3 linked regions of the Arabidopsis thaliana genome follow. The protein of the gene in region 2 interacts with the protein of the main gene of each other region in a pairwise test. Each region holds a gene or a part of one and is shown on either strand. Other genes may lie near its edges.

Region 1 (7,508 bases), on a different chromosome or scaffold from region 2:
GACCGTTACCTTCCCGAAGAAAATCAAACAGCTGATTTGATTGGTTCTTCTCTCTAGAAAGATCCTCGTATAGTTTCCCGCAACGGGAAACAAAAGTTGCAAACCCCTCGATCAGAAGTTTCAGATTATTATCTGCAGGAGGAGGAACTTCCGGAGGAGCAGAAACAGTTGGCTTAGTTTCAGCCTCAAGAGGACCAGAAAATTTATGCCGGGCCACAAAATCCTTCGGGATTATCGGAGGATTAAATCTGATATAATATACAAAACACACAATGATATGAATTAGACTATCTGAATGTAAGTAGCCATAATCAGAAAATTCTGAGAGTAAGAGCTCTATTAGACATGCAATTGTGTGATGACATTGATTTAACAATGTCCTCATGTTTGTGAATCATTGAAACATTACCTCTCCATACTGTAGTCAGAATTCTTAGCAGCTCCAAAACCTGGCAGAACGTCATGCTCTTTTGAGGTTAACCTCAGTCTATTGTCATTGCTCTGTCTTGCTGGCTGTTCGTCTTCTATGACATAAGTCTGATCAAAATCGTAACCTGAAAGAAAAGAAAAACACTTTGGTATTGCAGCATATTCTGAGAAACAGGAGGTTGATAAATCCAAAACTAGCACTTCAAATTGTCAAGAAAGTATTTACACCTATAACCAATATTATTCTTTTACAAAAGCAAATTACTTTTACAACATACAGGAGCTTTAAATTAACGACTGTGGGACAATGGTTTGTAATCTTTAGAATAAATAATAGTTCAACCTGAACAGACACTTATGCATATATGAACAAAGAAACCATGATTAGTGAAATTGCACTTCTGTCCTTACCAGCATAGACATCTTCATCCTCAACATCAAGTTCCTCAAGTGCTCCAATGCCAAAACCCGGAGCAATCTTTCCTGCTGATTGTTCAACTCATGTTAGTAACTAACAAAACCCATAAGTAGTTTTCACGCAACAAGAATGCCAAGTAAAAGCTGGCATAGAGATACGCTATAGATGCATGTAAGTATCTTTAAGCAAAGAAGAGAAAATTAACAAGAAAGAAAAGAAAAAATGGTGAGTCAAAATCTTACATTTGGGTCCAAAAAGACTTTCCTTCATTGATAAAGGTTTTCTGAAACCAACCTCCTTATTGGCAGACATGCGAGATCTTTTCTTTTCTACAGATCAGAATAATGTGAAGCAAGTCAATGACCAAGAATGCCCTGTCAGCAGAAACATCATAAAAAGTCCAAACTAGGTACCTCTAAATTCAGGAGCATGCTTAAAAGGATCATATCCTAATCCATGCAGATCTTGCTTTGGATTCAGAACATATACCTGCAATCGATAAAGGGGGAACAAAGGATATCATCAAAATCAATGTAACTAAGGGTAATATCTGAAGAAGCTCAGCAGCAGATTAGAAGCAGTATTCACAGTCCGACGTTAATAAAAAGTAGAAGAGAAGTTCAAGAAAAGTATGACTAATAGAAGTATCACACCAGTAGCGATTACAATCAACAACATATAGCTCGTTTGAAAAGAGAAACAGGAAAATTGACTCACAGGAGTGCTTTCAGAAATTTTAATATCTTCACCCAGAGAAGTTTCCACTTCAGTCTCAGAAACAAGCGAGTCGGGCGTTTCCTTTGTATTCTCATCAGTATAGAAGGCTAAGAATGCTTTTCTAGCTTCTCTACGAGCATCTGCACCAACAAGGTATAAAAGAGAGAGAGAGAGAGACGAAATAAAGAGCTTGCTGTGAATTTCCAAAATAGAAAAAGTATTGACGGCTTTTCTTGGTGCACAAAAGAAGATTATGGATTAGTGCATGTTAAACAAGTTCAAACCTGAACTGGCACGCACTTCCTTTATTGAATGACCACGCCGCCATCCCATCTTTAGCAAAAGTTTGACCCCTGAAAAATATAAAGAAGCATAAATGTGAGATCAGGATTTCTCCACTTGATGCATTCGAAAATAAAGAAAACGAAAGAAAAGGAACTTTTGCAAAATATTAAAGAGGCTTATTGAAACTAACCAATTGACTCTGAAACTGGAGCAACAAGTTCGTCAGGAACAGGGCCAGGAATGGCTGATGGCCTGTGATACAGAAACAATATGTTACAAATATATAGATAGCAACTTCTTATAAAAAACAGACTACAGATAAGTACACAGACCTCTCATGCTGTTCTTTCTCAGCATGCTTGCGGGAATGTTCGGCTGCCGTAAACCCAAATGTGTCAAATTGTGAGCTCGCAGACAGTGATTTGCCCTCCATATCCTAAAATGGAAAAGGATTTAGAATGGTGTAACATCGTTAAATATGGTGCACATCTTCCACAGAGCAAAATATAATTCCCAAATCCACACTCCATTTTACCATTGATAAAAGTAACAGAAGAATCATGCAATATGCGGTAATCAAACTTTGACAAGCTTAAAATAACTCGAAATAAAGCTTTAACAGATCTAACAAGGAGAAAAAGATGAAACATACCGCCTTTTCATCTTCATCTAGAAAGTCTGAAATACTTTGCTTTCTCGCTCCAGCTCTGTTCTGCCTTGATGATGTAAATGACTGTGGAGCCCAGCCTGAAGTACGATTTAGATTGTAAACAGCATAGCACAGATAAAAAAGCCTTTGAAAATCAGGTAATGTAAACTTTACCCTCTTTTGATCCAACTGTATTGTAATACCCAGCAGAATATCCACCAGTAAATGCTCCATGGAACCTTCTACGGCCTTCTTCATCAGTCACCTGAGTATGGTAAAACTCGAGATGTTAGCAACTTTCCACATAATAGTACAACTATATACAGATAGACTTTATTTCCAGTAAAAACTCATAGTGGAAAGCTGGACAACGAATTCTTGCAATATCATGCATCCATTAGTAAGGACACAAATTTTCATCACAGATTGCTTCAATTAGTTTGCAATTAGAGACCAAGGAAGATGCCACATACATAAATACATATTTCAAAATGCCTACAAGGCAAACACCTAAATGCAGATAATCAATCTAATAACTATCCATAGATACATTAATAAGCAAAAACAAACACAGCAAATAACAAAAACTCAGAATCTAACTGTCTAGCATGATTTTGAGTATTAAATCAGCTCCAGTAGAGACATTCACTTCGATTTTCTTGCTTAAGGTTAATTTCATTCCGGGATACTCACAAATTTTCAAGCTGATTAAGCTGAAACGGGAATGCCTCAAAGTTATCCCTTACCTTACTCGACATAAAACCTATTAAGCTCTCTACAATACGTTAGAATCACGAAAACAAGCACAACGAAAAAACTCCCATGTTCATGGCCAAAGCGAGTCTCTCGAAGCTCAAATTATCTAATCATCTGCAACTAAATAGACGAACTAGAAGATCAAAGAAAAACTCACCTCTTGCTTCCAAGCAGGGAGAGTTCTAAGATTGCCAGAAGCCCCAGCGACTGCTTTCTTCTTCCGGCTTGCGATTTCTTCTTCGCGCTCTATTGGCGTTCCATGAAACACGAAATCTTCCTCGTCTGACCCCATTGTCTTCACCACCGAGACCGAGAGGAGCAGCAGCAATTCGAGATTCTGAACGAGTCCCAGAGAGAAGAAGAAGAAGCAGAATCAGAGAATTATGGAGGAGATATCTGGGCCTGGTTCGGGTCTCTTTTCGGCCCATTAGTTTTGTTTTAAAATCCAATTGCTATAAGGAAGTTAAAGTTATCTTCACGCGCCGTCTCTAAGCGTTGTAAAAGAAAGTGTGATTCACGCGCTTTGCTTCTTCCGTTTGCCCTAAACGACTCTGCTAGAGAAGACGAAGGAGAGAGAAAATCCCTCCGATTATATTCCGTACAATCCGATCGATTTCCCGGCGCCAGATCTCACCGCGACTCGTCTACTTTCCGATTTGGTTCGTGTTGACTCAGTTACGGTGAGTCGATTATCTCTATCTTCTCGTTTTTTTCCGATCTCCCCTTGATTTGCTCTTTATGCAGATCTTCGTGTACAAGCACCTTTAACCTGATGAATTCTGTAGATTAAACTATGGATCCAATGGATATAGTCGGCAAATCCAAGGAAGACGCTTCTCTTCCAAAAGGTTAGTGTTATTGCTCATTGATCATTAAATAGGAGGATTTGTAAACCTAGCTATATATAACTCTGCTTGAAGGTTATAGGATTCATGAGCATCATAAACTTCATTTTTTTATTATCTTGCTAAGAATATGTTTTGTTGTTCTCTATTGTTTTAGCTACGATGACTAAAATTATAAAGGAGATGTTACCACCAGATGTTCGTGTTGCAAGAGATGCTCAAGATCTTCTCATTGAATGTTGTGTAGGTAAGATCATATAGTTTCTCTCTGAGTTCATCTATATATGTGAGAGTTCTTGGTTTTCTTACTGTGGTTTAAAACATTTTTTGCAGAGTTTATAAATCTTGTATCTTCAGAATCTAATGATGTTTGTAACAAAGAGGATAAACGGACGATTGCTCCTGAGCATGTTCTCAAGGCATTACAGGTTCTTGGTTTTGGAGAATACATTGAAGAAGTCTATGCTGCGTATGAGCAACATAAGTATGAAACAATGGTAATGATTCTCTACTTTCTTCTCCTACTCTTGATAACGAGGAGACGAAAAAACGATTAATGTTAACCGTTTCCTACATTTGTGACTCTATAGCAGGACACACAGAGGAGCGTGAAATGGAACCCTGGAGCTCAAATGACTGAGGAGGAAGCAGCAGCTGAGCAACAACGTATGTTTGCAGAAGCACGTGCAAGAATGAATGGAGGTGTTTCGGTTCCTCAACCTGAACATCCAGAAACTGACCAGAGAAGTCCGCAAAGCTAACTGAAACCGTAAGGGTAAGTGTTAGGCAAGAAAAAACAACATCCTTTTAACATTCCCTTGTAAGTTGCAAATGCGTATGTTCTCTGTTTATATGCTCTTAGTATGATATATGTTAGTTAGTGTTTCACGATCTAAAAACACTTGTGATTCAGATGTAATTAGTAAGCATTCCTTGTTTTGTGTTTACTTGTGTCTTGACTAAGCATGGTGGGTCAGGTCTACACAAAGCATCTGATTCGATGACTTACAGGAATCTTAATGTTTGTAGATTGGATAAATTTGGTGATTGGTGTAATTGTTTTTCCATAAACACAATGCAATCATTGTTTAGTGTTGTTAACATTTGCCCTGTGATTCTGACGCGAACCGAGAATACTGTACTGAGCCAAACATAGATTTTTGGTTTTCGGCTAGGTTTTGGTTCTCTAGGCTGAACCGATTGGCGTACTTTCAATTTGCCTTCAGTAACCTGCGAATTTCGGTTCGGTTCGACATTGGTTTCTCAGATAGTTATTTGTTTCTTAAAGAACGGATTATACCATTATTAGACCGTTTTTTACCAAAATTTGATCGGGTTTCGCAAATGATTACGAACCGATTTTAGAAAATAAAGAAGGAACCAAAACCAAACCAAATTGAATTTCTTTTCGGTAACCAGTTAGAAGAAATACTTCGGTTAATTGATAACCGGAAAACTGACTTGGTTTGTATGTTTTGTCTTTGTCATTAGTAGAAAAAACATAAACTGATGAAATTATTTAATAGACTCTAGTTTTCCCAGTCTCAAATTTTAATCTGTTCGTACTAAATAACTGATTTGTTCATTAAATATATAGTTCCTTACAAAGCAAAAGACAAATGGTTCATTAATATTTTAGTTTCTTACTAAAAATGTACATAAACTGATGAATTATGACATCATTAATTAAAGTATATACTGTAAAAGGTAGGATGACTTTTGACCCCAAAAAAAAAGGTAAGAGGAGTGAGGGAGAGTCGAAGAAGGGGAAGGTACTAGCAGGACCATCACCGGAGTGACGTGTCAGTTCGCAGGTTTCTGTTTACTCTGCACCCGACAACTAATAAGAGAATCAGAACAGACCTATTTCATATCTTACTATTTATGACGTCAATTGATCCTAACTATATAACTTACGTATTTATTTGTAACATTATTATACATTCCTTTGTATTATTATAACAGTATGATTTTATTCTTTGATATACAAAGACAAAGCCTGTCGAATGTTGTATTCCTCTTAATGGCCCGTCACACCAATCTTTATTTGAGAATATTTCGTACTGAATCGAGACTATTAATGAATAGTTGTATAATTGAATACATTCATCTTTCCATGATAAACCATACTATAAGTGTTAGACAATTACTTGAACCTATCTATAAAGCATAAACTTAAGTATCCATGTACCAATTGATATCGAGTCTTGTTGTATGTTTAACTTTTTTTAATGACGGATTGTTGGAAACCTGTAGTGGTTGTATGGATAATATGTGTACTAATTACTATATTATCTAACATGCACGATTTAAGTTTCGTATTAGTAAGTGTTGTTACAGTAATATAAGGATAGTGACGTCAAGCCGCTTGTGCCAAATTATTGTCTTGCGTTTTTTACCAGGAAAAGTTGGAAAAAAAAATCTTACTTTTACTGCCAACAACTAGAAAAACAGTTCTCAGAACTATTTGCTTTAACATGGTTAAAAAAAACTAATAACCGCATACAATTCAAAAAGTGAGATGGAAAAATAGAGAGTACAAGAGGTTCAACAATTCACTTGCATTTGTTTCAATTTAGAAATGTTTATATTCTATGTTGCTTTTGATACTTAATCTTTACTTTTTTTTTCCCTGTCCATTGATTTGAAAATAAGTTTGAAATCATCTACGAATCTTTAATATGATTAGAGATTGTATAATATGTACAATAAAGATTTGATATAAAGAAGAAAGGATTTGATATAAATGTACTATATTTTGGTAAACACTCCACTCTTTTTTTTTACTGTATAAAAGATTGAAGTCAAAAAAAGGGTTTTTGAGTCAAACAAAATTGAGGGTCTTTGTAGATTACCCCACATAGAAAATGAAACAACACACACACTTTGTCCCCAGATTCCTTTCTTTTGTCTCATTTCTCGTGTTTCTCCCAAAGTATTCAACAAAAACACAATCCTCCTCTCCACTTATTCTCTTAACTTTATATTAATACAACTGAATCAACCATTCATATAACTAAAATAAACAAAAATCAACATTTACAAAATTCAGCACCAAGCTTTTCTTGTATATTTATACTTTTTATATATTTTCTCCTAAATACATATTTTGCCTTGGCTCAGATTTATTAAATTCATATTGGCAAAAGGTTTTATTGGTGGTGTTGAGAGGAATGGAAGAGATAAAGATGTAAATGAAAGAAAAAATATTTCTCTCCTCTTTACTTGATAGAATCAGTTATTTTACATTTTCAAATTGTCTAACAAGAATTGAGCATAATCCGTTTTAAAAAAACCAAAAATATCTCTAGAATAAGCAACTAATTGAGCTAAAAAGTCTAAAACTAATCCCAAGCTGAATCACTTAACACCTAAGAGCATCCCCAATGGTTAAGATGTTAAAACATCT
Region 2 (8,173 bases):
TAAGTTGAGAAGTTTATAACCAAATTTGAAATATATTTGACTATTTTTAGATGCTGAAGGAGAACAAGAACATGGTCGAAGATTAAGGTGGAGATTATTGCAATGGCTTAGACGAGCTTCTCCCAATAGTTCACTCTCAGTATTCTCATCAATTCGATTATTTTCATTGGGGTTGTTTCACCGATCTAACGCATGTACGCATATAAAATAATATTATGTTTTAAAAGAAAATAATAATCTGGTTATCAAAACGACTTTTTCAAATATATAATTTATTCACATATATAAGTTCATATCATAATAGTTATGGTACAAGTTTCCTAAAACTAAAAAATAAAAACAAATTTTGGCTTCACAGTCATTGGAACAAGGTGAATCCAGCGGTCTCCTTCTCGGAGAAAATGGCCACGCGGACGGACGATACACCACAGAAAAGTCCAACGTGAGTTAACTCTAAAGAAAACATTTTATTTGCCAAATATAACGAATAATTATTTATTATTTTCAGAAAATATTATTATAGTTGTGATTCTCTGTTTCGCAAGAGTTGGGAGTAGGGAATGTGAAGTAGTAGTGGTGGCCCAAGTTATGTTTCCAAACGCCAGTAACGACCAAATCTAGGCATGTAGATTTCATTGGGTCACGTGGATGCATCAAATTTAACGCGCCGCATTTACTTTTCAACGAATGGCACAGTTTCAACTACCTCGAGAAAAATCCAAAACCAAAAAAGCTATTTGGAATCTTTAAAATCTTTTTACAAATTTCTTCTATTATAGTATTGCTTTGTTGTACTATATTTCACGACCTTTCATGAATATTTTAAATATAAATAGAAGTGGTAGGCGCATATCTTTTTATATTCAAAAGATTCATATCCAATGACACAACTAATCAATGTTCAACCGACCTTAGTAGCCAAGTTCCGTTATGGTCAATACGAGAGGTTGAAGAGTGATTAAGCTCAATTATACCAGATTTACCACAACGACTAATATCCTTCCTTATCTTCACTTTTGAACTCTACTTTGCAGACAATATATGCTCTCTGTCGTCAAAGCCCATAAGATATCTCACTAAAACGTTCAAACTCACTCTACGTATAAGATCATATACCACACGTAGACAAAAATTGAACCTACTCAGGCTGATCTTTGTTTCAAGTTTTATTTTTAACAAATTTATAAAGAAAATATACGACATGTATCTTAGTAACCATTGTGTAGAGATATATCAGATTGTGATTTGAAGAGGTGGTCCTGATGTTTGAAACACAACACTCTCAGCTTTAGGCAATAGTTTAACTAAGATGGATGGTAATTTTTACAAATAACATGCACGTACGATTTGTTTAACTATTTCTCGACAACCTAAACCAAATAGGATATAATATATGATCGTGTTAATTAAGTAAGATAATATATATATATATATATATATATATATATATATATGTACCAAATAACCTAAAATTTGATTGTTTTAGGGCTAATCGGCAGATTCTCTCATAACATCGTTGAGAAAAAAGGACACGGTGATTAAACATCATAAATTCGGAATATTACCTGATTAGGAGGCAAAAACGTTGGTTGATACACGTGCATTACCCAATCGGATTTGGATCCATTGATGTTTTCATACGATTGGAAAACCAAAACTTGTTTCTCACCAATTTTAACACCATTACTAGTTATCCACTTGCCAATGATTGGTGTGTTGGATACAGTTTCTTTCCAATAACCCGAATTCGTTTTCAATATTTCTTCGTTATATTCATCACAACTAAAGAAGAACCATACCATAGTATCAGCCCACTCGCTCTTTGATTTGGCTATAATAATTATTAAAAAAAAAAACCTAAATCAGAAATCAGCCTATAATCAATGATTGAATCAGAAAATCATGATCTAGCATTAATTGACCAAAACTTTCATGGCACATGCCAAGGATCGTAACTAGAGATTTTAACGGTGGTAATGAAATGATGATATTGCCTTCCTTGATGCCGAGATGTTTTAGCAGGAGGTAATATTCGATGATAACGTCATCTGTCGGCCGGAATCTGAAATCCGCCGGATATTTCATTCTTATCGAATAAACCCATAAAGTTAAAAACAATAGAGAGCGATGAAAAATGCAAAATAGGGTTTACAATTTTTATATGTAGGTAATTTAGAAAAACAAAATTCTTTTTTTTTGGGCAACATAAAAAAATTCCTTAATTCTGAAGAAGATATAACGAATAAGGTACGTAATTTGATGTATAATAAACGAAAGCAAAGTCTTTGAACGCCGAAACAGAGGAATTAACAAGAAACAGAATGAAAGTGATGTAGAAGAAAAAGAAAGATTACTAAAATTACATGATATAGGATAATGTAAACAAATAAACAATAGTCTAATGGGTTTTGGATTTAGCCATCAACATGACAACATGCACGTGTACATATATGATGTAGACTTGAAAGTCCAAAAAAAGACTCTTGACATTACTGAAATGAAGCATCTTAATTTGAAATTTATTCTTGTTTTCTTTCGTTGAATGGAATTTGTTTATGGGGTTAGGTAGGACTAGAATAGTACTTCGAGGTTGATTGATACTTGATAGGGTACGTCAAATAAAATTTGAGCATTTGGTTAGCTGTATGAGCAGAAATTATACAACTTTGTCTTCACAATGGAGCATACATACAAGATGAGAAAGTAACAAAACAAGATAGACATTATTATGTCAATGGATACAAATTTGTCTTCACAAATTTACCAGTTTTATACATATCACACATACAGTATGGTAAAGTTACAAACCAAGATAGACATCATAGCATACACTTGTACTGTTGTAAATAATTTGGAAAGTAGAAAAGGTGTTATTGATCACTTTTATTGTTATCAAGTTCTTGAGATGGAAGAACATAGGTGAATTTTCTTGACGAATTTTTGTATCATCCTGTGAAAGAAACCAGCTCTTTTCTTCTTGATCGTCTCTTGACCCAATTTATGCTCACCAATCTCAGTCCCTTGTGCATCATCATAAGGATTCTTCTTCTTCTCGGCGGTATCAATACTGGTTATTAGAGCTTGGCTCACCTTGAATCATAACAAAGAAACAAAGTCGTTGTAATGAGTGTTGGCACAAAGTAGCATCATTGATTGTTTGTGTTGTTAGTAGTGATGGCACAAAGTAGCATTAAGGATTGTTTGCCTCAGTGAAAGATAGAGAGATAAGAAAGCTCACCTCTTGAGTTAGTGACACTAAGTTGATTGTTGAGGTAGGAGATTCTTGCAGGTCTTTGATCTGGTCTATGCGATGATTTGAGCTACCAAAACTATCACAAGTGCTCGAAGTTTGAATAGAGTTCTGTCAAATGAATGAAACAAAAACTTGAGCTTTGTAAGGTGAAATACGAAAACAGAGGATTATAAAGGTACAAAAGTAGAAATTTGCTTACTGTTTTTGGAGTTAGCAAATCAGAATCATTATCATCACTGCTAACATCATCACTGAAGACACCAGTTAATGAGTTTGGAGGTCTGTAATCACTTCGATTATCATGCATAAACATGATACTCTTCTCCTTAGCATCATCAATATCATTCAACCATGTTTCCCATTCCTCAATCGGTATAGCATCCTCGATTTGAGCATCATCCTCATCATTCATCAGCCATTTTACCAATTCCTCGGTCAGTTTAGCATCCTCGATTGGAGCTTCTTGCAGCACATCACCAAACTGACTTGGATCTTCTCTGTGAAGTGAGGATCCCTGAAAAAGGGGGAGAACGCAAAAGAAGTCGTTGTCAGATTTAAAACAGAAAAGAAGTTTTGAGATGAACCCACCTCAGAATTGTTGACAAGCTGAGGGATTAAAGAGTCACGACGACTCTGCTCAATTCCACTAACACCAGAAGAAGAAGGAGAAGAGGAAGACTTCTCTCTCATGCCACCATTAAACATAACTTTACAGAGTGTGTATGTCATCATCATCTGCAAAAATTCGATAAAAAAACTCAGAATCGCAGCAATAGTAAGTAACACAAAAAAAAAACAGAGAGTACCTGGTTATGAGAGAAACCGTGGTACTCGTGTATAACCCAATCGGATTTGGATTCCTTACTCGTGTAAAACATCAAAATCTTTTTCTCACCGATCTGTTGGCGATTACGCATGATAGGCTTTGGTCTGCCAGTACTCTTCCAAAACCCAGATTTCGTTTTTCTCATCTGCTGATCACCTCTGCCATATTTGTTCTCCTTAGGTCTGAAGAAACACCAAGCCACATCTTTCAGTTTGATCCTTGACTGGCCTACCATACCAAAACGAGAAAACGCTAAAATCAGAAAGTAGCGGATGATTCGATTGAACAGTGAGAAGGACGACACTCGGTGATATGAATGACTTACAAGGTAACTCCCAAGGATCGAGTCTACAGACAGGGACTGTGTTAATGAATCGATCGACATGGCTCGTGTCTCTATCGGAATTTTTCGGCCAAAGGTAATCGACGACGATCTCCTCGTCGGTCGGACAGAATCTTAAACCCACAGGAGTTTCCATTTCTCTGCAGCGATCAAAAAAGAAGGGAAAAGGAAAAGATCAAAAAAATATGCATTGGAGAGCTTTCGCCATGGTTGATGTTCTTCTGCAACTTAAAATGATGGAGAAGAAAGACGTATAGGGTTTTGTATTTATGCGGAAATTCTCAAATTCAAAAAAATAAAAAAAATAATACAACAATAAAAGAGTAAAAATATTAAATAGTCATGACGGTATACTTGTCGAATTCGATTACGCTAAGACAGGACATTCAAAGGGTTAAGTTTCGGAATGGTAAATACGTGGTGCGTTTGTTTATCACTTGTCTTATAAATTTTGTAATTATTTTTTCCATACGACCATACCAATCTTCAATCCATGAAATTGAAAATATTCCCCATAAATTCTCTTACATTGTGTGACTTGTTAAAAAAATATCAATCAGAAAAGGAGGGTGGAAAAAGAGGATTTGCAAGCTGCAAGTTTGCATAAATTTAATCAGATAGTGACATATCTTTTCATCATGGGACGGTAGTTTCGCCCAACACGTAACGACGAAATTACATTTCTTTCTTGAACTTGTTTGATGTTTCTCTTTATTATATTTTGTTGGCCCATTTGGAAATTATATAATGATTAACGTTGCCCACAAAAAAAATAAATATAATGATTAACGTTAACGTCGATCGTCCGTTATCTATGTAGAAACAGAAACATAGATACGATGACAAAAAGTATCTCTATATGCTATTATGCTAATAGGTAGAGCTGTCAATTAGACAGGCGGCTCATGAACTTGCCCAGTCCAAATGCATATGGACGAACTATATTCTGGACCATAAAACAAATGGTCCAATTGGGCATATAACCAGTTTTGTCCACGAATAATATGAGTTTGACCATATGGACAATGGGCTGCCCATGGGCATGAATTGAGGGAAAAATACAATTTCTCCGATTTTACGATTTTGACGGAAAAACGTAATTCTGCAAATTTCCTCTAAAACGCGATTTTATTATTTTGGCGAGAACACAATTTTACAGTTTCGACGGGAAAACGCAATTCTCCGATTTTACGGTTTTGGCGGGAAAACGCAATTTTTCTACCAAAATCGTGATTTTATTATATTGGCGAAAAACACAATTTTACAGTTTTGGTGAGAAAACACAATTCTACGTTTTGGCGAGAAAAAACAATTTTACGATTCTACCGTTTTGGCGAAAAAAAACAATTTCATAATTTTTCCGCCAAAATCGTGATTTTATTGTATTGGTAAGAAAAACACAATTTTACCGTTTTGTCGGAAAAATGCAAAATGCAAAAACATAATTCTTTAAAATCATGATTTTTGATTTATCAATAATAAAATGGGCTATACATGGGCTTGCCCATATGGACATGGTCTTTATTGGGCATGGACATTTTTCGGACCATTGTCCATTATGGACCGTCCAACTTGACCCATAAAAAGAATTGTCCCTACGGACACGCCCAATGGTCCCTGGACGGATCATTTGACAGTTATACTAATAGGAAGCTTCGTAGAAGCCGTAAGCCGAAATAATCTAAAGCCCTTTTAAGATTTGGGGATAAATATTTATATATAAGGCTAGACATGGGGAAAAAAAATTAAATATTTATAGACATGCATGCTATATACCAGATTACCAGGTCCAGAAATAATCTAAAGAGAGCATACAAAGTGAATATTAAATTGCAAAAATGGGGGAAAATAAAAACAAGAATAGACATGCATGCTATATACGCATATGCAGAGTGAGCGATCACTTGATGAGAATTTTTTGTAAAACGATTATCGCAATTTGAGCATCTTTATTGATGAAATACTTATAGAAAGTTTCTCAAATAAAATACTACTAATATATTTATTTATTTTTTGTTTTGAGAGTTTTACATATATAGGGTTCTCATATATAGATTCTCAATTATGAACCTTTTGTACTAAAAACTCTACTATTCTAGAAACTTACCTTTTTTTTAAAAAAAATGTGTGAATACTATGGATGGAAATGTCTTTAGTTGCTATGAAAACTAATTTGTGTTATTTATACGGTTATACCTAACGTTTCTAGTTATCACAAAAATTAATGGTGTATTAATGTATTTAATAAAGTAAGTTAAGTTGTTGCACAGAAAAGAAAGTGTAAGTTGGGTAAATTGTGTGAGCCAAAAAAGATTGTAAATTGTGAGTTTGTGACGCTGAAGAGTGAAGACAATTCAAAAGGTTATATCTTATATGCGACGGCGTAGGTCAGTTTTGGAATGGTAAACACGCGGCAAGTTTGGTTATCATCATTTGTCACAATCATATATATTTACTCATATAACATACATACATTGCTTTATCGTCATCTTTGGTTCATGAATAAGAAAAATGTTCTCCCACAAAATATCTTTACCCTTTGGTTTATATTTTAGTTTTTTTTTTTTTTTTTTTTTTGTCAACCGATATAAATTAAACCTCAAAAGAGCCAATCCCGAGGGATATTGTTTACATACGTGACATGATGCGGTACGGTACGAATCTTTCGTGCCAACTTATCCGCTTTTACATTTGCACTACGAGAAATTAAAGATAAAGAGAAATTTGTGAATTCTTCCCTATCACTTTGCAACTCCTCCAAATACACTGAAAACGCCGGCCATTCGGTTGGAGAAGACACCATCTTCACCAAGTCTGAACAGTCTGTAAAGAAAGCTACGTTCTGATTATCTGCTCCAATCATGCACTTCATCGCCCAAAGAAGAGCTTCCATTTCGGTATGTAGAGGAGATAGACTTCTACGAACGTTGGCGGCTCCCATGGTTGGCGACTCTCCAAGAGATGATAGACAGAACCATCCTGTTCCTGAGAACTGGTCACTTGCTTTCCAAGATCCATCAATAAAACACCGAAAGCCAGAAAAAGTTGTATCTTGTGATACATCCCTCACCCGAATTCGACTATCTATAGACAAGGAACCATGTTTTTCACTATGGAGCTCGACTTGAGCTTCCTGCCACGATTGAGCCTCTTTTACCGATAAGAGCAATATTTCCATTGGATCTTTATCCACATTTTCAAAAACTTTTTCATTTCTTGCTTTCCATATATACCAAATTATCCATGGGTAAGAAGCCGAATCGACGCCTGAAGGAATTCTCCAAAACAAATGATCCAAATTCGTAAAAATTGAATTCGAAGGAAAAATCCTTGGGGCCGTAGGAATTTGTGATAGTGCCCAAATCTGCCTTGCAGGATGGCATAGAAAAGGTTTATATTTTAGTTTTAATATAAAAAAGAGGGGAAAAGAGTATTTGCAAGTTGCAAGTTTTTAAAATATACATTAATCAAAAGACTGACATATAATTATTGCACTTATCATGTGACAGTTACGCTGTTAATCCCACATTTTTTTTTCTATTTTTGCTCTGTTAAATTCGATAGTTCATTATTTATGTCGAAGCAAACGATGTAAAAATGTAAACCACATATAATGATTTTGTATATAGGAAACTTCGTAGGAGGCGTAGATAAAAGAACTAGACAGCTCCAACCAAATACTCCTCCTCCTACTTAGTAATTTTTTTTGCTAAATACAGCTTATTAGTTCGTTATAAGAGTTACCAAGGAG
Region 3 (7,713 bases), on a different chromosome or scaffold from region 2:
CTGAAAAATGAGAGTGATCCCTTTGCTGTTTGGTTTATAATTCTAGAGAAGAGTATCAAGAAACTCGCTCACGGTCATGTATTTGACATCAGGGTAAAGCTCAGTACCATTCACTCCACCACAAGACTCGATGTCGAAGTATGTGTGATCTCCTTTGATAAAGACAGAGTATATGAATACCATCTCCATGTTATCCGGATATGGAGTTTCTGCATCATAGAAACACAAAGCTCAAGTTTAAAAAAACAGTTTTGCAAATATGTTAGTAGATGTGCTGATGATGTTATGATGATGAACCTTTGATCTTCTTGAGAAGTTGATTCTCTGTAGCAAACGTTTTCTCAAGCTTCTTCTCAATCTTGCCCTCCCAGAGCTCGACAAGATCATTCATGGAACATATGTTTCCGGGCGGGCTAAGGTACAAGGTCTTATTCAGTGTTCGAGGATCATCTATCGTCTTGATAGTAAATGCTGCAACATCGACATCATTCACGAAAACAGCTATACACAAAACAACACAGAAAAAAGAAACACTCAAATTTCAGACCACAAGATTGTATATTTGCAAAAACTTGTAGCTATAGAATTGAGCAATAAGGACAAACCTTTAACGTTTCCATCTCCAAAAACTGTGACTTTATCTGTTGGAGGAGATTGAAGCCCCGGTTGCACAAGCGATGGAAGTAGAACTCTCATGAACAGTCCGCAGCAAATGTATGTATATGGAATCCCCTCTGATTCTATCATATGCCTAATCTCTGATTTCTTCGAATAGAAGTCATGATCAAGATCCGAGACTTGAGTTTTATCAGGATTTGCTCCATATTCAGCAGGAATAAACCTCTGCAACAGTAATTAATCCATGTTCTGCTCTAGTTAGATATCTATCCTCTCAATCTCATCATCAGCCAAAAGTAAATTCAAGAACAATATTAAACAATACTACAATGTGATCTATACTTAAGACATGATCGAATTGGTGTAACAAAAAAAAATCCATGATTAAGATATAAGAAGAGACCTTGATGGAACCAGCTTGTTTGATAACTCTGACGAGGAGTTTCTGATCAAGAACATGTTTTGATGGAATTGCAGAGATCACCACATCTACTTTACTCACTGCTTCTGCTAAGCTTCCTTCATCCTCCAATGAACCCTAGAACCCATCAAAAACCAAATCCAAATGAAAACAAGCAAAAAAAGCCAAGACTTTTTCAAAGAGAAGTCCCCCAATAAGAATCTACAGAAGAACCCTAATGAGGAAATTACAGAGATATTGCAAAGAGAGAGACTTTGAGGAGGGTAACGCCGGCGTCGGAGAGAGATTTCAGCTTATCGGAGAGAGTGGTGTTTCTGATGAGAGCGAAAGTCGGGTGACCCGATTCGATGCTGAAACGGGTCAAATAGTTCCCTAATCTTCCTGTTGCTCCGATGATCAAAACTCTGCTCTTCTTCTTCTCCTCCTCCATTTATATATACTCTCCGTATAGAGAATTAGGATAGTTTAGTTCCAATGGGTTGGTCATAGGTTTTAATCTCTGACTCAGTTCTCTTACATTGTCGTCGTTTTGTCCGCCACGCTTAACAGGTGTTGTTTATTCAATTGCTTTAAATTTGGGATTAGTCCCGCTTTTTCAAAGTAACCAAAACATAGATTAGAAGATTGTTAGTGATAAGATGTAAAACATAACGTTAAACGACTGGTGTCTTGTTTCTTGATTTCATGGTCGCATGACTTGTGGCATTGTATACTAAAAAAAAAAATACTAATGGATGATCATTCACCACAAGAAGATGAGAACACACCTTGAATTAAAGACACAAGTCCACCGATAAGAAATATATTACTGGACTGGTTTGCAAATTATACACAATAATGTCTACACTCTTTGATACATCAACTAATGGGCGGGGGATCTCAAGTCAATAATCTAGTGGAATTAGTAAATAACAGCTACTGGTTTGCTCTCTCTTCCGATGAATAATTTGAATTAGGGAACATTGTTATGTTGTGGATTGGTTTCTTAATCAAACTCCTAAATTGCCATAGAGATTCTGCACATGAGAGTCCCACATCGAAGGAGCTTCGCCATTCTGTAACAATCAAAACATATTTAGTAAAAAATTATCATATCCAAAGTTAAACTAAAGGATAGATCATAATGAAAGAGTATTAAAAATATGACTTACGTTGAAGCATGACAATGGATCAGAACTGGTATTCACTTGCTGCATTGGATTGACATGAAGGTAACCGGAGTTAACCATCTCACTAGAATAACCAGAGTGAACCATCTCATGAGAATAACCGGAAAGAACCATTTCAGGAGATGGCACCACAGTCATTGGAGTTGAGGCAACCTGGTTTTGAATCCACATGGCGTATTTTAGCTCATCTATAAATAGCCTTTAAAGTTTTGTTTTTCATATAAGCATAAACAAATCAATGACTAACCTCTTTGGCAAAAATGTCATCCATATCAAAATCCGGCCTTGGATTCACAATTGCTAGTTTCATCGATAAGAACTGTTTTAAACAATATTTTGATAACAAATTAGGAAGGTAATGCAAAATTAGTCTTTAAAACATATTTTCTATAAATGGAAATAATTTTCAGACCTCGATTTGTCTCTGAAGAGACTGAACATAGTTAATGATTTCATCAAGCATCCCTGCTTTGCCTGTGATCTTGTCGCATCCAGGAACCAAATCTTGTAGAAACTTCATTCTCTCACTGATCTTTTCTCTTCTAACCTTCACAAATTTAATACTTTAATAATTAGTCTCAATGATTACACAAAAAACAAAGTTAATGAATTTTAGTTAATGAGGCTCTCTTACTCGTTCTGCTATGCTGTGACTATCAGTGGCTTGGCCTCGTCGTGCACGAACATGAATATAATCCGTTTTCTCCAATTCCTTCGTCACTTTAGATGAATCATTAGAGAAATTGTTCTCTTCTTTCTTGGCTTTGTGTTTCATCTTCTTGATGCTTTTTGTGCTCCCATTGTTTTGCTCTGTTATTTTCGACTTCTCTTCTTCTCCTTCTTCTACTAGGTCATCTCTGTTCATCGTCATCTTCTTCTTCTTCTCATTACAATCCTAAAAGCACACACAGAAGAAACAGATAAGCCAAATCTCAAAGTAAGATCTGTTTTCTTTTTCATTTATAGAACTTAAACTTAAGTTTTCTTTACACACGAACCTTAGTCTCTGTATCAAACTTCCGTTTCTTGAAATTTCCAGTCCCAAGCGTCGTTTCCGGCGAAATTGAGAGTCTTGAATCACCTTCCACCGTCGTCTCACCGTACATCATCGGAAGATTCAAACCGGCAGTCGAAAGATAGCTGTCCATCTCGCCGCCGGTAATCATTGAAGAATCGGCAAAGAAGCCGGCGAGAGGAGAATCAAAGGTGGGATTGAGGTACTTGAGGTGAGCCCTTTGGCGCTCTAGGACCGACATGTCAGGAAAATTGAGCAAAAGGTCACCTCCTATAGCTCCATTCATCGTTATCGTCTTCTTTGGATTCAGAAAACAAGTTGCTTGCAACGAGAGAGAGAGAGAGTGGAGAAAGAAACAGAGTAAAGGTGAGGGTAGAAGAGGAAACGATATTTATAACAAAAACCATCAGCTCTGTACTTAGTCCATATTCATCGCATCTAATAAGGTAGGCCCATATACAAATCTGGAAACTTTATATGTTTTGTGATAATTGATATTTGCGATGATTGAAAATTGAGAAAATAACTAAAAATAGTGAGTGACACAGAAAACTTATAAAACATTTATTACGTAATATATGCATGTATTATAGTGTAAATTGGATCTTGATTCACTAAGAAAGGATAAGCTTGGGATGTCTATGCGAATTGGAGCGTCTCTTCTTTAGGTTTCTTTCATTATAGGAGCACGTGAATGGTCACGTGGGAATGGTCTAGTTGTAACACAATGAAAAATAATTTTGTAGTTTACAAGCTAGTTATGATTATATGAATCAGATTGGTGTGTGCGCTAGATATTTCACCTAATTAAAATGGGGTTACAAAGAAAACACTTTACCTCATTTCAATAGCTCTGGTCTTAGTTTAGCTACGAAGCACTGTTCACATGAATTTATTACATCCTTCGGAATCTTGTTATTCAGATCGATCATCATCATGTGTCTGATCGCCATGCTGTATACATTGGCTTACTCTATCGTGATAGGCTAATACTGAGACGGCGCAAGAGAGGCTGCCACGTGATCGCCATGCTCTTTTTCGATGCAGAAGGCCCATCACATGAATTACTCACAAGTTAGTTTTAGTCTTAGATCACTTTCACCGATTTCGGTGAGCAAATATTTCGAAGAAAAGGACCTTCCATTAAAGTATATATGACATTGTTTTAGATTCTCAAATATTTTCATTTATCCGACTTTTTATGTTATTGGAAAACGCTTTATGTGATTGATATAGGGACATGAAATCTTCTCGATTCTATAATGAAAACCCAACTCTCTTTTATTTTGCTTAGTCCAGTTATATATTAACCTTTAAAGCAGATACATGGAGTTAGTAGATAAGGAAAGGGGAGGGTGTAAAGTTGTTAGAAACAAAGACATGGTCGTTGCCTTTTGATGTGATGAATTTGGACTAAGTCCATAGAAGATGATGATCAGCTATTTCCCTCCCTATCATACTATACATGCATACACTAAAAAAAGTAAAGCCACACACCTAATTTGTGGGTTCCCCATCACCTTGTACATATATGTTCATAAATTCATGTCGACATGTATGTAGATGTTGACATTTGATTCGGTGTGTTGTATTGGAGATAGTTATATTATTTATACAAAAGTATTTAAATACATCTATCCAATTTCTTTCCTTAAACTGGAGAATTGATCTGTGCACGTATATTTATCTATGTTTAATTAAGTGTTGTTACTAACTTACTAAAAGATATCTATATCAATTTGTATATGGGAGAGTTCTTAATTAGAATTAGAAATTGCTGTAAAAAAAATTAGAATTAGAAACATATCATCGACGTAGAAATTTCTGATGGAACAATAATGAGGGGAGATCCAATGGTCATGACTCATGAATCATGATCACATGATGGGAGCCTAATTCCTATATGATGGGTTATTCTCGATATATGCATGGGAATTAGACGTATAAATAAGAGGACTTTTTTTTTTTTTTTTTTTTTGGGTTTTAAAATAAAGAAGAGTTGTGAATTTTATAAACTTTCATATAACTTGCATGTATTTTAAAGGTATACAACTTTCCTAAGAAGTCTTTTTCGTCAAAAGAAGAATTGTTTTTTTTTCTTAACATCCAAGAAGTATTTATATTTTTTATGGTTACTAGTTATTGTTATAAAAATGATTTAATGATAAATGAGTTATTGTTATATAAATGAAAAATGTATAAAAATTGTCTCTGACCCGTTGCTCCATAGTTAGTTTTTTCATTCTTTTGTATTCTACGGTTAGTTACTATAATTTCCTTAAAATAAAAGATTTCATGTTGTAAAAAGTAAGAAAAACGCATCTTTTGAAATAAACAGATATATAAGGTGAGTTTTAGCCAAAAAAAAGAATGAAAATATGAGTGTCTTTTTTTGGCTGATGTAGGCTCATCGGGGACTGCTCCAACTCTCTGACACTTATCATTTTTAATTATTCAACTATCAATTGAATTTTATGGGCTTCCCTACTTTCAAATCTAAACAATTCAAAATCATACATAAACTAAAGTATCCATTTTTATATTTAAATCTAAACAACCAGGAATATAACTTTCTTCACATAACCTAGACGGCAGACAGAGCTGGTCAGCTGGATGAACAAACAATCACAAAGAGTTGATTTTAGTTCTAAGTTAGGTAATTAAACAGTCCCACAACATAAGCTATTATTTATTATTTAGTGAGCTAATTAAGACAAAACGCATAAATCGATATGCTTACAAAATTTTTGTTTTACAAATCCTTAATTAGAGAATAGGAGTGAATGTTTATAAACTTTCATTTCTTTAAATATTTTATGAAAACTAAAAATATACTGTATTTTAAAGATGATTTTGTAAAAGAAATCATGTAAACCTAAATAGAAACGCTTAAAATCGCGTTTGAAACTATAGAAGAATTGAACTTCTTTATTTATAACGAAAAAGAGAGAACATAGTAAACATCTAATCATAACCAATAAAAGAAAGGAAAGACAAAGTAAACGTTGGCACTCAGATACATCAAATTAGGACCGACCGTTTTGGACATGAGTCTTTGACTTTGACAAATCAGAATCAATTTTAACCGGATATCTATCGATGCAATGTTGCCAAGGACTATTTGCCGATGCCTTGACATTGCGTAGAGCCACCCAAACCGCACTATTACACTTAAACCCTGATCCTAAAGCAATCTGCCAAGCTTTATTCCCTTTCTTCATTCTTCCCTTTGCCTCTATGTATGCTAATTCATACCAAATTGAGCTAGATGAAGTATTCCCAAATCTATGTAACGTTGATCTAGATGCCTCCACATCGATCGGCGATAGTCCTAAGTTCTTCTCTAGCTCATCGATCACGGCTCTGCCTCCGGCATGAATACAGAAATGGTCAACAGCAAGCTTGAAATCCGGAACATAGTAATGCTTGATTTTATCCTTTAGAAGTTTCTTGGCGACGAAGGTAGCGAAAAAAAGAAACTTTTCGCTTAAAGGAAGAATCAACGGACCCAATGTTGCTATATTTTTCGTAAGTGTTGTCCCCGCAACATTGGTTATGTCCTTTGACAGACAAACTCCGATTTTGCCGCTCTCATCGTCTTCTTGTTGCACACATCGAAAAGACTTGTCATCAGCTCCAGTATGCGTTCGGACCGTGTGAACTAGCTTGTACTTGGACCGTCTCCGGTCTCCCGACTTGTTAGAGAGCAAAATCGCGGCCCCACCAACACGAAACAAGCAATTGCTAACCATCATTGATCTATTTTCTCCAGCATAAATGCCTTGTGTGATGTTCTCAGTGCTCACCACAAGAGCATAAGTGTTTTTATGAACATGCAACAAGTCTTTAGCCAAATCAATGGCAATAACACCAGCACTACAACCCATTCCTCCTAGATTAAAGCTTTTGATGTTGCTTCGGAGCTTGAAAGTATTAACGACCATAGCGGATAGCGAAGGAGTTGGATTAAACATGCTTGAGTTCACCACAAGTATACCAATCTCTCTAGGGTTAACTTTGGTGTTCTCGAATAGATTTTCGAGCGCACCGATGATAACCTTCTCTGTCTCTTCACGTGACGCTGCAAAAGTCTTCCGCGGTGGTACGTGAATGAGTCCCTCAGGACTGTACGTCTCATCACCTAGACCTGAACGCTCTTGAATCTTCCTCAGGAAATCGAGCGAGGACGGATCATCACATGCCACGTTCCGTGAAGAAGTATCAGCTTTTCTTATTTGGTAGAAAATATCCATGACTTTAGAGACACTAACTTTGAGATGCGGTGGTGGAAGGTAACACGAGTAGTCAACGAGATAAACCGGATTGGGTCGGGTTACGATGTAGAGAACCAAACCGAAAACAGTGAAAGCAAAGAGTAAAGTTACTGTTATAAGGTTGTGTTGGAGATAGGAAAGGAAGTTGTGGAGATCGTTTATGGTAAGCCGAGAGGCTTTTCCGGCGAGGAACGCCGTTAACGGGAACAAACAGAG

Evidence for each region.
Region 1: the proteins of NAC003 (region 2) and NF-YB13 interact in a two-hybrid assay, tested with the Arabidopsis thaliana proteins (one large-scale study listed by BioGRID).
Region 3: the proteins of NAC003 (region 2) and CIB1 interact in a two-hybrid assay, tested with the Arabidopsis thaliana proteins (one large-scale study listed by BioGRID).

The regions. Positions count from the first base shown.
Region 1 is NC_003076.8:7,745,344-7,752,851, forward strand, and holds NF-YB13 (nuclear factor Y, subunit B13), read left to right. Parts: upstream 1-3,686; 5' UTR 3,687-3,934; intron 3,935-3,998; exon of another isoform or gene 3,999-4,039; 5' UTR 4,040-4,047; coding exon 4,048-4,102; intron 4,103-4,256; coding exon 4,257-4,346; intron 4,347-4,432; coding exon 4,433-4,596; intron 4,597-4,689; coding exon 4,690-4,860; 3' UTR 4,861-5,269; downstream 5,270-7,508. Other genes in the region: TGH (SWAP (Suppressor-of-White-APricot)/surp domain-containing protein), read right to left, coding at 1-248, 410-554, 841-915, 1,090-1,176, 1,261-1,336, 1,565-1,704, 1,849-1,917, 2,040-2,101 and 4 more.
Region 2 is NC_003070.9:426,010-434,182, forward strand, and holds NAC003 (NAC domain containing protein 3), read right to left. Parts: upstream 4,712-8,173; 5' UTR 4,559-4,711; coding exon 4,405-4,558; intron 4,308-4,404; coding exon 4,060-4,307; intron 3,989-4,059; coding exon 3,842-3,988; intron 3,768-3,841; coding exon 3,453-3,767; intron 3,362-3,452; coding exon 3,239-3,361; intron 3,091-3,238; coding exon 2,893-3,090; 3' UTR 2,641-2,892; downstream 1-2,640. Other genes in the region: AT1G02210 (NAC (No Apical Meristem) domain transcriptional regulator superfamily protein), read right to left, coding at 1,539-1,802.
Region 3 is NC_003075.7:16,494,262-16,501,974, reverse strand, and holds CIB1 (cryptochrome-interacting basic-helix-loop-helix 1), read right to left. Parts: upstream 3,585-7,713; 5' UTR 3,510-3,584; coding exon 3,207-3,509; intron 3,104-3,206; coding exon 2,843-3,103; intron 2,756-2,842; coding exon 2,621-2,755; intron 2,528-2,620; coding exon 2,456-2,527; intron 2,362-2,455; coding exon 2,191-2,361; intron 2,095-2,190; coding exon 2,029-2,094; 3' UTR 1,801-2,028; downstream 1-1,800. Other genes in the region: AT4G34540 (NmrA-like negative transcriptional regulator family protein), read right to left, coding at 43-209, 298-501, 606-843, 1,022-1,156, 1,293-1,469; KCS18 (3-ketoacyl-CoA synthase 18), read right to left, coding at 6,250-7,713. UniProt on the Arabidopsis thaliana protein: Transcription factor that binds DNA to G box 5'-CACGTG-3' and, to a lower extent, to E-box 5'-CANNTG-3' in vitro. Binds to chromatin DNA of the FT gene and promotes its expression, and thus triggers flowering in response to blue light.